2 linked regions of the Cricetulus griseus genome follow. The protein of the gene in region 2 purifies or fractionates together with the protein of the main gene of each other region. This does not show direct contact. Links are inferred from orthologs where the notes say so. Each region holds a gene or a part of one and is shown on either strand. Other genes may lie near its edges.

Region 1 (6,448 bases), on a different chromosome or scaffold from region 2:
TAATGGCATCTTCTGTTTCAAAGTCTTCTAAGTGGTTGCCCCCACCCCATTTTTGATTTGTTGAAGAACTTATTTGGGGACTGTCATGTTATTTACATAGAAATCCCCAACCTCCAACTTCATTGCCTCGTCTCCAGTCCTCTCTCTTAATACTTCCAAGAATTAGGCTTGCCTTTCTGTGCTGGTGATCTGGAAGCTAGACCTCCCCAGATTCTGGAACTTGGGATTCCTGAAGGATACTTCAGAAAGGTGTCTTTCTCCCCTGTCTCACAGCCACATTTGTTTCTGCCATCTTTGTGACTTCAGATAAAACACAAAACCTTTAATGTGCCTAAACACAAACTAGTCTGTGGGGGAAGTCATGAAGTTAAAACTAAAGTCTTAGAAAAATGACTGTCTCCCCCTCCCACCGTGGGCCATTAAGGAAGGCATGGCTAGCAGAAGTACAAGCTTCGAGGAGAACCCAGCCAGGTGTACTCTGTCCACCCACGAGCCTTTCCCAGCCACATGCTGTTTGGATGTGTACAGGCTTTAAACTTAGTAAACTGTGATGGGATTTCACAGAGAGCAGCCATCCTGTCTGTTACTGGAACTTCTCTTTGTTATCTGGACTAGACTTTCACTATAATATGAAGTTAATATAAAGAGACTGGCTATGTGAGTTTCATGCTTTGAAGTATTTTTTTAAATTATTTAACTTTTTGAGATGGCCTTTCCTTGTAGCCATCCCCTGGCTATCCTGGAAAATGTTGTGTAATGTGCCTCTGCTTCCTGAGTTTTGGGACTAATTTGTCAAAGGAGACCTACCTAGAAACTGGACTTTCATTTTATAGTTCTTTTCTTAAGTGCTTGTTTAGATGAGTTATTCCTAAATTATGAGTATTTTTTAAAACAATGGATATAAAATAATTTTATATAAAAAGTTCAAGTGTTATAATTTGGCTTTTTATTTCTTTTGGAGACAGTCTCACACAGTACAGGTTAGCAAAAGATAACCTTGAACTCTGATCTCCCTGCCTGCATCTCCTGCATGTTAGCAGTACTGGTGTGCACCATTGTCCACAGTTTTCTCAGTGCTGGCTTGGAGCCCAGGACTTCATGCATAACTAGGCAAGCACTGAGCCACATCTCCAGCCCAAGTCTGTTATCATTTTGCCTTTTTTTTTAATTATAGCTTGCATTTTATTCGCTAATTTTTTTAAGCTACAAAACAATGAAGGTGCTTGACAGTTTGTCTCTAAAATTTCAAATATACCACAGAAATAAGACCTGCCATATAAATCTTGATTTCTGTTTGTCTCATGAGGCAGTTTAGGTCCATTGTTTCTCAAGGCTTTTCAGTTTTTACATTTGATGCATTTTCTTCAGGAAAGCTGTGTTACTGTTAGAAATACTAGAGCCATTCGCTATGGTGGGATGCCTTGCTCCATCCTGATACAGGGGTGAGGGGCTTGGCCCTACCTCTACTTGGTAATCCAGACTTTGTTGACTCCCCAAGGAAGGCCTTACCCCCTCTGACAAGTGGGGGTTGGGAAGGAAGGAGGTGGGGAGAGGGGAAGGAGGGGGAACTGAGGTTGGTATGTAAAATGAAAAATAACTTTTTAAATTAAAAAAAGAGAAAAAGTACAAAAGAAAAACTGGAGCCAACTAACCTAGTAGATGCCAGAAAGTTACTAGCACTGCATTGATCATTGGTTTAAACTCATATTTTACTTTAGCTGTCCATTTACAATTTCAAGTGATGGCGTGTGATTATGAAAGATTATAAAGTTTTTTTTTCCCATTTGTAATTTAATGTGAAATTACTAAGAAAGTAAATTCTCAGGTCTTTTCTTTTGCTTTTAGGATTTTCTCATTCCGCGTTTACCTTTGGTATAGAGAGCCATATAAGTCAGTCCAATATAAATGGCGCCCTTGTCCCACCTGCTGCATTGATCTCCATCATCCAGAAAGGCCTACAGTATGTAGAGGCAGAAGTTAGCATAAATGAGGTAAGGCAGACGAGTTTCATTTCAGACACTGATTCTGATTCTTAAATGCATTTGTTTATTCAGTATCTGACTCGATTTCACTGTATTCAGACAAAATAAGGTCATCATTCTTAATGTACCAGTCAGGTTGTACTAGCTATGCATGTGGGCTTCGCTCCAGTGGCCTGAGTCTAGATTATTCCTTAAGGGAGGGGGTGGAGGGGGTGGGGAAGCTGTGTGTGTGTGTGTGTGTGTGTGTGTGTGTGTGTGTGTGTGTGTGTGTGTGTTTGTGCTTTAAGTAAGCACAAGGAAATAATTTTTAACAAATAATGAATTTTGCTTTATTGTACGGCAACAACTTGATGGCAAGCATTGGGAAATCCATTGTTTAGTGTCATGTACCCTGATTATTGAATCCAGGTATTTATAATGGATGCCCACTCTTGATGCTCAGAGCTGCATGTGTGAGGTTCATGTGTAAGTAGGGGGTTTGTTTCAGGTGTTGGCATGCTTCTGGGGCCTGATTCTGTAGATCAGCTTTGTAACTCAGGCAGACTCATTCACATTTGGACTGTCTGGGTGGATACTGGGAACATGAGGTGCTGTGACACGGATCTTAAATGCACACACTGCCTGCTCTTTCCTAGAAGTCTGCAGAACTTTGCTCTAGCTAGAAAGTTTAATGTATTTCCAGGACTCAGAACACGTTGAGGTGTTCCCTTTATTCTTTACTTGAAAAGTGAACACACTCCTCCCCTGCCCTTCCCCCCAAAAACATAAGTGGAAGGATTTTAGCTGTTTAAAGTGTCCATTCTCCTGTTGGTATCCTCAAGGATGGGTCCCTCATTGCCACAGTGAGCACCATCTACAGTGCTCTTGATTTACACCAAATGGTACACATCTAGATCACATATATGATGTGCTTGTTACCCTGTTATGTTTAAGGAAAATCTACAAGAAAAAGATCTGCCCCAGTTCAGTACAGGTGCATTTATTTTTTTTCCAAGGCCTGGATTCAGAGTACTGATGAGACACTGCCTCTTTGTTGTATGAGCTACTCTTATTGGTTGATGTTTTTTACTGACAGCCTTCATTACCTGAATTTGACATATTTCCATTTTATTATCTGTTTAAGAGCTTTTATGAGTGGCCTCTTGTATTGCATTTGTCTTTGTAGAGTTTAGCAGGATGTAAGTGAAGAGTAGAGGGCCATTTGCATCTGCCTCATTCAGGGTCATTCTTATTCTCTTCTCTCCTTCCTGCTCAAATTCAGAAAATTACCAGGTTTTCCTCAAAGTGAAGCTCTTCATTCTGTTAGTGGAATGCATGTCACCCTCAAGGCTACATCTCATTTTTCTTTCCGGGTTTTCCAATCTCAGGATGGCACCTTATTTGATGGTCGGCCCATTGAGTCTCTGTCGCTGATCGATGCTGTTATGCCCGATGTAGTCCAAACAAGACAACAAGCCTACAGAGACAAGCTTGCACAGCAACATGCAGCCGCCGCTGCAGCTGCCGCCGCAGCCACTAACCAGCAAGGATCTGCAAAAAATGGAGAGAATACAGCAAATGGGGAGGAGAATGGAGCACATACCATCACAAGTGAGCTAAGAATGTTTAGAGAGTCTCAGAAAACACTTGGCCTTACATAGACTGTCCCATCCTTAGAACTGAAATGATACCTCTATGCCCAACTTAGGTCACACAGCTCAGAGTTTATACTTAAGGTTCCAAAAAGCTAAATTCACTGTATATTCCTTTTTAGGTGTTTTTGAACCCTTTTTCTCTTAGAATTCCGAATCTGCCTTTGATTTTTAAGTAAAAGTTGGAATGTTCTCTCTTAAACATAAGTAAGGCTATGACATTGAGGAATAAAGATGACTCTCATGTTATATGAACGATATCAGCAACCCCTACTGGCAGAAACTCAGAATAATATTGTTATAGATGGTTTAATTCAGCCACATTATCATTCCAGCCATGCTGAGGTTCACTCCCTTTTCACTCCTCTTTCTCCCTTGCCTCCTTCCATATCCACATCTGTGTATATAGACCCTCACATGCTTAGGACTAGTACTAGAATTGTGATTACCTCTTACAGAGATTGTTGCTTCTCATGATGCAGATAATCACACTGACTTGATGGAAGTAGATGGGGATGTTGAAATCCCTCCCAACAAAGCAGTTGTGCTACGGGGCCATGAATCTGAGGTTTTCATCTGTGCCTGGAACCCTGTTAGTGATCTCCTGGCATCAGGGTAGGTTTTTCAAAGGATGTTGGGTATTTTGTTTGGTTTTAGACAGGATTTACTGTTTAGGGGAGGCTAGTTTTGAACTGTTGACCCTCCTGAGTCCTGAGATTAATAGGCCTGCTGCAACATACCCAGATCTACAGTGCCAATTAAGGCTACCTTACTGAATGGACTGTTGCATATTTTGTATGTATTTCACTTTCCAGGTGCTTGTTGCCTGCTTCTGGTCATGTTACCTTAGTAAATTGATATTTCCTGTGAAGTAACTTTAGAATTTCTTGGTAGGAGCTCTAAAATGTAGAATAAGAAAAATATTGGGAATGTTTATGCCTGGTAGTCTGCTTCTTACTCAGATGCTAAATGTATGGCCTGAGTTTTGGAATGCTGGAGAATGTCATGAGGACTTAAACCTATTTTTGAACTTTGAAGGTCTGGAGACTCCACAGCAAGAATATGGAATCTTAGTGAAAACAGCACGAATGGTCCCACACAGCTGGTGCTTAGGCATTGCATACGGGAAGGAGGACAGGACGTTCCCAGCAACAAGGATGTCACTTCTCTAGATTGGAATGTGAGTGTCCCTTGCTTTAGTGGTTTGTGAATGAAGGCATTTGAGGATTTGGCTGTACAGTCAACCTGGCTCCAAATTCCTAAGTCCTGATCAGAATTTTACTTTTTACTTCTTATAAAACCATTTTCGTGGTGGTGTTTTGATGTCCTTTTAGTCTGCAACCTACCTCCATCCTCATTCATGGGTGTCTATGAAAATATTCTGCAGAGGGTTATTGTCAGTCCTACTCCACAGCGGTTATGACCAGTGCTCAGATTTGGGGTGGGCCTTTCAAGAGCATTGACTTCATCAGGGAAAGGGGTTTTGCCGGCCTTTGGTGGCACTCACACAGAGATGAGATTCCTTTGTGCCTGGACATATTCATAGTAATTAAGTAGCCTTAATTGTGTAATGAACAAAATTTATTTCTCTGGCAGAGTGAAGGTACACTTCTAGCAACTGGGTCATATGATGGATTTGCCAGAATATGGACTAAAGATGGTATGTATTTTTCTAACTTTATTGATGTTCTATGTTATAAAGTTTGAAGTAATTTTAAAGTTTTTTTTTGTTGTTGTTGTTGTTTAGGTAATCTTGCCAGCACCTTAGGGCAGCATAAAGGCCCTATATTTGCATTAAAATGGAATAAGAAAGGAAATTTCATCCTAAGTGCTGGAGTAGATAAGGTAAATGATTATTTACCTAACCTGTATAACACTATATTTGAAAGTAATTTTTTTCTTTTCTGATAATCATTTAAACTTCAGTGCATTCAAGTATGGATTTTTGACAGTAATAGAAATAATTTCTTGTTGTCCGCTTGTTTTCCTTAATCTACTCATCATATCTTTTGTTTATAAGCATTCTTCATTTTTGCTGGAATTTGAACCTAATGAATGTTATCATTCAGCACTTTGTGCTTTGCCAGTTTATCTCAGTGGTGGCTGTAACTCTGGAGTGACTCCGTGGGCCATCCATGTCTTCCTGTGCTCTGTGAAGTAAATAGAGACTGGTTGGAACTGGCTCCTCCTCCTCTAGGCCCCCTCTACCACACTTCCCTAAATAATAAAAGGTTTAAGACTTTTTTTGTTCCAGCAAAGAACAGGCTATTAATCATTTGGGTGGTGTTGGGAAGGGGACATAAACTGGCTTAGATTCATAGTTCTGATGAGTAGTTTTCACAGACTGATGAAGGTATCTGGGGAGGAGAAGAGCCAGTACTGTCTTTCTCATAAGCAGCTTCAGGACCTGCCTTAAATGGTATCAAAAATGGAAACATCTATTTTTCTTTCTTTTTTGTCCATGTAAGCTTCAGGAAAGGAGAAATGTTTCAGTATTCCGGGATAGGTGATTTCACTACAACCTTCTAACTTCAGAGCTGTAAAAATGCATATTGAACACACCATTGCAGTGGAACCTGTTACACAGTCTAATATAATGCCAGGCACTTTGTTGACAAACAATAGTTGTTACTAGAAATAAGTTGGTGAAAAATTGCCACAAAAAAGTTAAACTACGTCATGGTCATTTCCCCTGACCTACCTGAGTGTGAATGATGCCCTTGTGCTGTGAGGAATAAAAACATTGAAGATGAAGTTCACTGTCGAGTTTCATTCTGCCTTAATGCAGTCAGGCATCCATTCTTGCATTCACATACTCTTTAACGTCAGAGAAAT
Region 2 (7,188 bases):
GATTGACTGCTCATAAACTCTTTGTGAGACACTTGCTCTTACCATTCACCCATTCTCCCCCTCCCCCCATAAACTGGGGGTTGTAAACTCTTCGTATTTGTATGGATCACTTGTGCGTTTTTGGGTGTCAGTCTCTTGTTGAGTGTTCTGTGGCAGGCTGCTTTTCCTGCTGTTTGGCTGTCTTCTCTATTTTCTGAGTCTGGATAAATTGAAATTTTTCTTTTTCCTTTTTCGCTTTATGGTCCAAGGAGATTTCTCTAACTATATGAAAATACTGGTTTTTGTGGTCTTTTGGACTGGGTCTGTAACCCATCTCCTGTTTTCATGATGGGTTGCTAGGAGGTCATGCATGACCCAAGCATTATATTCAGAAAGACTGAAACCTTGGGATTTAGGGTGGGCTCTTAACTATTAACAGATGACCTTGCGTGTATTGGTTTCATTCTAGAATATTATGTTCTTTTCTTGTTTTTAATAAATCAATATAATATAATTGAGAATGTAAGTCTTCCAGGTCCTTCGTGTTTCTTCGTAAAATACAATATTGACATGTCAATTTACAAAAATCACAATTTTAATTTTTCTTTTTTGAGACAGGGTTTCTCTGTGTAACAGTCTTGGAACTTGCTTTGTATGCCAGGTTGCTACCACCACCCAACTTAATTTTAATTTTTATTGTGATTGCATAGACTACCAATTAATTGGGAATGTCAGTGTCTGCGCCATTGTTAGGTCTTTAAATCCATATACATAGAATATTGTTTTATTTAAATCTTTGAATTTTGCTTATTATATACTGACAATTTCCAATAAAGCTTTACATTTTTTGATGTATTTAGCCCTTGATATTTGCTGATAATCTGATGGTATCATAAATGTTTTCTCAGAGTTATTTTCTTTTTGTCCCTGGTGTATAGAAACACTTAAGTATATTGCCCATCTTACTTTACAACCTTATGTTAATGTAGACATTTTAATAGTTCTTGGTTGATTGTTCTGGGTTTTCTGTGCATATGTATACTGTGTATAGATGATGATATCACCCTTCCAGTTCTTTTTCGTGTCATATTGCTCTGGTGAGGGTCTCAGGAGATGGCGTTGTTTGGCAGAGGTGAGTGTGACACCTGCTGTGTTGTGTAGATGATCTGCGTTTGTTACTCTGCAGTCTTGTCATTTCTTGCTTGATGGTGTCACTAACTGACTGCTGCTACTCCACCAGCCACAGAGTGTGGTAAGGGACAGAACATGCCCTCTCTGCTCACACCTCTTTTTGGAGCGTCATAAAGATTTTTAAAAGAAATCCTCTTAAAGATTTATAGCTTCTAAGACTTGCTCATTGGAAGGGCTTTTACATCATATGAAGTCAAGCCAACTAGGATTTCAGAATTTCCAAGTTGCAGGTGTGAGGAACCCAGGTAAACTAGCACACGAAGCCATCATGCTACTTATTCTGTATAGAGCCCGAGGAGAAATGCAGCAAGAGATGTCTTTGTAGAAGTTTGTACCCAGTCTCAGACTGCAGTTAACAGGATGGCCAAGGTACCCATAAATCAAAGTTACTTACCTTCTCTCTGGCTCTTACAGACAGATCTTTTCATTTGTGTGGTGCCTGGAGCACCCTGGGCCAGCGGGCCTATATGCTAACTGTCTTCTGACCTACCTTGGTCTGTTTTCCCATACCTGTGATGAATGGCTTGGTTCATCGGTCTGCTCATTTCTAGTCATCTTTAGTCTTCTACTTCTGTATCCAGATTTTTTTTTTTTTTTTTTTTTTTTTTTTTTTTTTTTTTTTTTTTGTCTTTCTCTTAGGATCATGGGCCCTGGCCCAGCCTGGCTCTGAAATAGTCTGCGGTAGCACTAGGGACTGTCTTTTGGCCAAGAAGGAACTCCAGAGGCTGGTGTGTGATTTAATGGAAGGCAGGATTTCCAGCTCTAGAGATAGCACTCAGCCATCTTGTGCTATCATAGCAGCCTGTTCCAGACCCTACTAAATTCTTCTCTGACCAGGACCCCATAGGCTCTGCCTCTCTCACATGGAAGGTGACATCTTCTGAAAACCTTTTTTCTGGTAGCAGAGCTCTGAGTAGATGGCACTGAAGCTGATTTTCATCATGCTTTTGGCAGTGCATTAACAAACAACAATAAAAACCCAAGCCAACAAACTCATAATAGATTGTAGCTGCACCTACCTGCAAAAATTTACAGTTAGTTTTTGTGCATTCAGTGTGTGGAGAAGGAGATGTGGATGAAGCAAGAATGGCAGAGTGTTCATAATGATTGAAGTTGGTGTCTTGGGTTTGTTGTACTATTTGCTTTGCGTTGTGTTTGCATCAGGTTCCATAACGTGAAACCTTCCCTTCAGCAAGAGAGACCTATGCAGAAACCACAAGAAACTTAAATTTAAAATTACCTTTATAGATATTTTTTCTACTAAACTTGTATTTTATTTATTTATTTGCTTGCTTGTTTGTTTACAGGGTCTCACTATGTAGCTCAGGCTGGCCTGGAACTGGCTATGCGGACCAGACTGGCCTCTAACTCGCAGAGATCTATCTCCCTCTGCCTCCTATGTGCTGGGATTAAAGGTGAACACCACTAAGATCAGCCCATGTTTTTATTTCTTAGTCATCACATATGGAGATGATAAACAGTTTAGACCCATCAGAATGGAGAAACCCCAAATGGAACATACACCCTGGCATCAAAGCCTCTTTCTGCAGAAGCACAGCCCACGTCCTGAAGTGATGCATGGGCAGCTCTGGAAGAGTGCCTGGGTAAGGTTGGGTGAGCCTTGGAAGACCGAGGACAGAAGCAGTGTTGAGTGCCCAGTGCTGTCTCCTCATGAGCTTGTTTGTCATGTGTAGGGCTTTTGAAACTACTTATGAGTGTATAAGAACATAACCAATATATTGTATATTGTAGAAGCCAGGTTTCTCACTGTTAGAGAAAGGTGTTAAAAGTGAGGAAAGGGTGACTAGCAGAAATCTTGCAGTGGTTAGTTAGCTTGGGACCTAAGGCGTCAGTACTGAGTTGATGTAAACAAATGCTTAACAGAAAAGATGGAAAACATCAGGAAAGCATGAGCAGCTGATTTAATGGAGCTCCAGTAGACAGAGTCAAGTGAATAAGCCAGAGAAAGTTGATAACATTGGATTATTAGCATACTGCAAAGAAGAAATTTTCATCTGTCTTCATTAATGCAAGTGACCAAATGCAAAGATAAGGACCCCTCAGCGTTGAATTTGAACTAACATGTATAAGAGAAGGAAGCCAAGTGCCACCATCAGGCAAACACCCCCCCCCCCCCATGGCAACAGTTGCAGATGGGCCCTCTTGATGTATCTGAGATCCAGAAGATACCCCCTGTTATGTGTCTGTCCTTCCAAATAATTGACATTTAGGTCTTTCAAGGCTCTTGTTGATTTTATGTAAGTCCTTGGCATAAAGTTGTCTATGATGCTATCTTTTGTCCTTTTACTGTTTAGTCTGTAGTTCATCCCCTCTTCTTGATAGCATTTCATCATCGACTGCCTAAAGCTTTGCAATCACATTGATTTACCCCTTTCTTTCTCTCTTTGTTCCTGTACTGTACACTGCTCACTGTATAGTACAGTCTTGAGTTTGCTGTCTTCCTTCCTCAGCCTCCTGAATGACTGGGTTACAGGTGTCCCCCACTTTGCTTGGCCTTCTTCTTTCTTTCCATTTTTTTTTCATGCAATTGATTTCTACTCTTTGCTGTTGTCTCTTTGTTGTTTCTTTGGAGTTTGGTTTGCTCTTGTCTAATTTCTTGAAGTAAAGACTGCCATCACTGAATCAAGAGTGTCTTTTCTAACATGGGGATTCAGTGCTGGACATTTCATATTTTGATATCTTGTGTTGCTGTTTTCATTCATTGCAAAGTGCCTTCCAATTCTTCATTTGTGAAGTGTTTTGTTGTTGTTCATTTATTTTCCTTTTTTGTTGTTGTTGTTTATTTTGAGACAGGGTTCCGTGTAGCCCAGGCTGGTCTCAGACTCTGTGTAGTTGAGGATGGCCTTGAACTGCTGATTCTCTTGCCTCTACTTTCCAAATGCTGGGATCACAGGTGTGTGGCGAACTGAAATGTATTATTTAGTTTGCAAATACTTTGGGTTAAAGATACTTTTCTGTTGTTACTGATTTTTAAATTAATTCCAGTTTAGTAAGATAAGTTTATTTTATGTGACTTGAGTCCTTTTAAACTTAATGGTACTTGTTTTAATGGGCCTAAAGGTGTTCTGTTTCAGTGCTTGCTCTGTGTGTTAAGAAGGTGCTTCCACTGCTTTTGTATAGTGAGTGTTGTGTAAATGTCACTGAGTCACCTTGAGGGCTGTGTGTGTGTGTGTGTGTGTGTGTGTGTGTGTGTGTGTGTGTGAGTGTGTATGTGTGTGTGTGTGAGTGAGTGAGTGTGTGTGTGGTGAGTGTGTGTGTGTTTTCTAGTATTCTGCTAGTTTTCTGCCTGCTTTTGTGACAGTTCCTAAGAATAAGCATTGAGATCCTAGCTGTAATGGTCGATGTGCCCATTTCCTTCATGCTTTTCTTAGTTTTGTTTCTAGTGTAAAGTGTGGTTTTCATTTACTCCTCAGCTTACTGATCCTTCTGCCATTAGGAACTGGGCCTCTGCATCCTATGTGATAACTTGAGCCTAAAGTTTATTTTGTCTGATGCTAATGTCTCCTTCACAGATTGCTCTTGGTTAATGTTTGTTAGTTACTTTTGTCATTGTTGTGACCAAATACTTGACAGCTACAAGGGAGGGGAGATTTATGTTGGTTTATGATTTCAAGAGGGTAGGGAGGGTGTGGCCGAGCAGAACAGGTCAGGTCATGGTGGGCTAGGAAGCAGAAAGATTGGCTGCTGGTGTTAGACTAGCTCTTCCAGTTCCCTCTTTCATTTTCTGGGTCCCTCAGTCTGTGGGATGGTGCTTCCTATATCACGGTGGCTCTTAGTGCTTCTAGAAAGGCCCTCACAGACACACAGAGGGGTTTTCATCTCTTGGGGGTTTTCTAAGTAGAGTCAGTTGGGCAGTGGTGCTTAACCTGCACGGTTTGTGTGATAGATCTTTTCCTATCTTTAGTTTATTTGTGACTTCATAGCCAAGTTCAGCTCTATGAAGGAATGTATTGTGTAGCTTTGTCATCATTGCCATTGTGTGAATATTACACAGGCTAAGGTGACCACATTGTCACATGATGATCCTTTCTAATGTGACCACCCTGTGTTTGCTATATGCAGTCTGTTGTTGACTTGAATGTCATGTGGCATGTGTCTGTATTGAAAATGTGTTCGTGTAGGTTGCACATTGCTGGGCCTCTGTTGCTTAGGGAACACTGATGTTATATAAAATGAGTGACCTTCTGTCTCTAGGCCATTTCCAGTCCTACCTCATGGTGGTTCTTTCTACTTGGTACAAAAAAATTACTGTTTTTTATTAATATGTCTGACAAGCTCTGTCCCTTAGTGGAGTGTCTGGACAATTTGAGAAGGTCGCAGATACAGGTGAGAGTGGGCTCAGTTGTCCTTGATTCCCAAACTCAAAAGCATTGTCTCTTTATCCTCCTGTTTAAATTGTTGTTACTGTTTTTAAATCTTAAATTTCTGCATTTATTAGACTTTTTTGTTAGGACTATTTACTGTCTTTTTTGAACTGTGGTAATGTTTTCATTATACATTTTTGTAGTGTATTAGTTATGAACCTCATTCTTCTTTTAAGCCCTGTTATTTCTAGTGTTCACTTTTGCCAAGTTTGAGTTCTCCCAGAACAAACATATTGTGTCACAACAAAAACTCTTGGGTTCTCTTACAAGGGGCTTCTCTCCATCAGTGGAGCTTAGAGAGCTTGCTGGAAGCCTTGGGTGGGAGCTGTAACCCTGGCAAGGTAGGCTTGGGTGGTGCTCTGGTCTTGAGATGCTATTCTTTGAGGAAAAACCACAGTCCCCATCTGGGGCCTGTCAACAAGGTGTCCAGACTATTTAAGAGCACACCTCAGAACATGATTCCTGTCTTGGAAGAAAGTTTTTTGGAAGATTGGCTAGACATGTCTCAAGAAATGAGGGTGCATGGGGTAAGGGGTGGGGTGGTCAGAAAGAGAATTAGGCCAAATGAAGGTTTGCAAGGGAAGTAGTGGAGAGCATTGTTTAAAGTTTACTTAAATGGCATCCTGACCACAATGAAGAAAGCCGATACTGTGGAAGATGTCAGCAGTCACGTGCAGAATGTACCAGAGAGGCCACCCCGCCTGGGAGTGCAGAATAAACAGCAGATGCGTCTGAGGCAGGAGGGGTGGATCTGTGGAGAGAGTCCAGCAGCAGTATACAATCTCTCAAGAAGCCAGAGTGAGTTGAATAAAAATAATCAAGGGTGACTGAGCATTTTCCAGAGCAGGAAGATGGAAATGTATTCAAAGGGTCTTGCTGTGAGCAAAACGAATCAAGAGACACTTATCGGTACACCGTCTGACAGTATTTTTCGGTTTCCAGACTAAAGAAAAAGACATGGTAGCATTTAGGCAGAAGAAAATGACATTAGCAATACCCAGCCCTAAAGGTTATGTAGACAGAACTCTGGGATAGCTGGCCTTAGGCTATTCCATGGTGCCAAGGGAACAGCATTACAGGATAGATGGTGTGGCCTGAGACTTTTATACCTAGCCAGGATGTGTGTGTGACTTTGTGTAAGATGGCTTCAAAGTTGCCAGAATAATGGGGTTTGCAGGATTGTGCCACCTGCCTCCCTTTAAAGAAGTGGTGTCCTGACTGAGAGGAGTAAAAGTTCTGAACCTATGGATAAAAGTCATGGTGCTATTGGGTGCATATCAGTTGTCATAAAGATAAGGGTTACATAGGTGTAGGTAATAGTGCAAAGCCGGAAACCACCTTGAATAGCCCACATTTGAAGACTGTCCTTGACATGATGAACTGATTAGTTGCAAGCAGCTGGGGAAAATCCTTGACTTGCTTAATAAAAGGATACATAGGCTGGACATGGTAGTGGATGCCTTTAATTCTAGCACTCAAGAGGCAGAGGCAGAGGCAGGACCAGCCAGCCTGGTCTAAATAGTGAGACAACTCTTTAAAAAAAAAAAAAGATTCATCACATTCTAAAAGAGAGAGATAGATACAGACAGATGTCTCAGTAGGTACTGGAGCCAGAGTCAGTCAGGTAGTCTTG

The links.
Region 1: the proteins of Hdac4 (region 2) and Tbl1xr1 purify together in Homo sapiens (affinity purification with mass spectrometry; 3 studies listed by BioGRID and IntAct, with this or other methods). This does not show direct contact. The link is inferred for Cricetulus griseus from reciprocal best matches to the Homo sapiens genes HDAC4 and TBL1XR1.

What each region holds. Positions count from the first base shown.
Region 1 is NW_023276806.1:126,265,506-126,271,953, reverse strand, and holds part of Tbl1xr1 (F-box-like/WD repeat-containing protein TBL1XR1), read left to right. Parts: intron 1-1,845; coding exon 1,846-1,991; intron 1,992-3,349; coding exon 3,350-3,572; intron 3,573-4,071; coding exon 4,072-4,228; intron 4,229-4,651; coding exon 4,652-4,793; intron 4,794-5,209; coding exon 5,210-5,273; intron 5,274-5,360; coding exon 5,361-5,458; intron 5,459-6,448. UniProt on the Homo sapiens protein: F-box-like protein involved in the recruitment of the ubiquitin/19S proteasome complex to nuclear receptor-regulated transcription units. Plays an essential role in transcription activation mediated by nuclear receptors.
Region 2 is NC_048595.1:443,655,739-443,662,926, reverse strand, and holds the start of Hdac4 (histone deacetylase 4), read left to right. Parts: upstream 1-2,733; 5' UTR 2,734-2,748; coding exon 2,749-2,774; intron 2,775-6,108; exon of another isoform or gene 6,109-6,353; intron 6,354-7,188. UniProt on the Homo sapiens protein: Responsible for the deacetylation of lysine residues on the N-terminal part of the core histones (H2A, H2B, H3 and H4).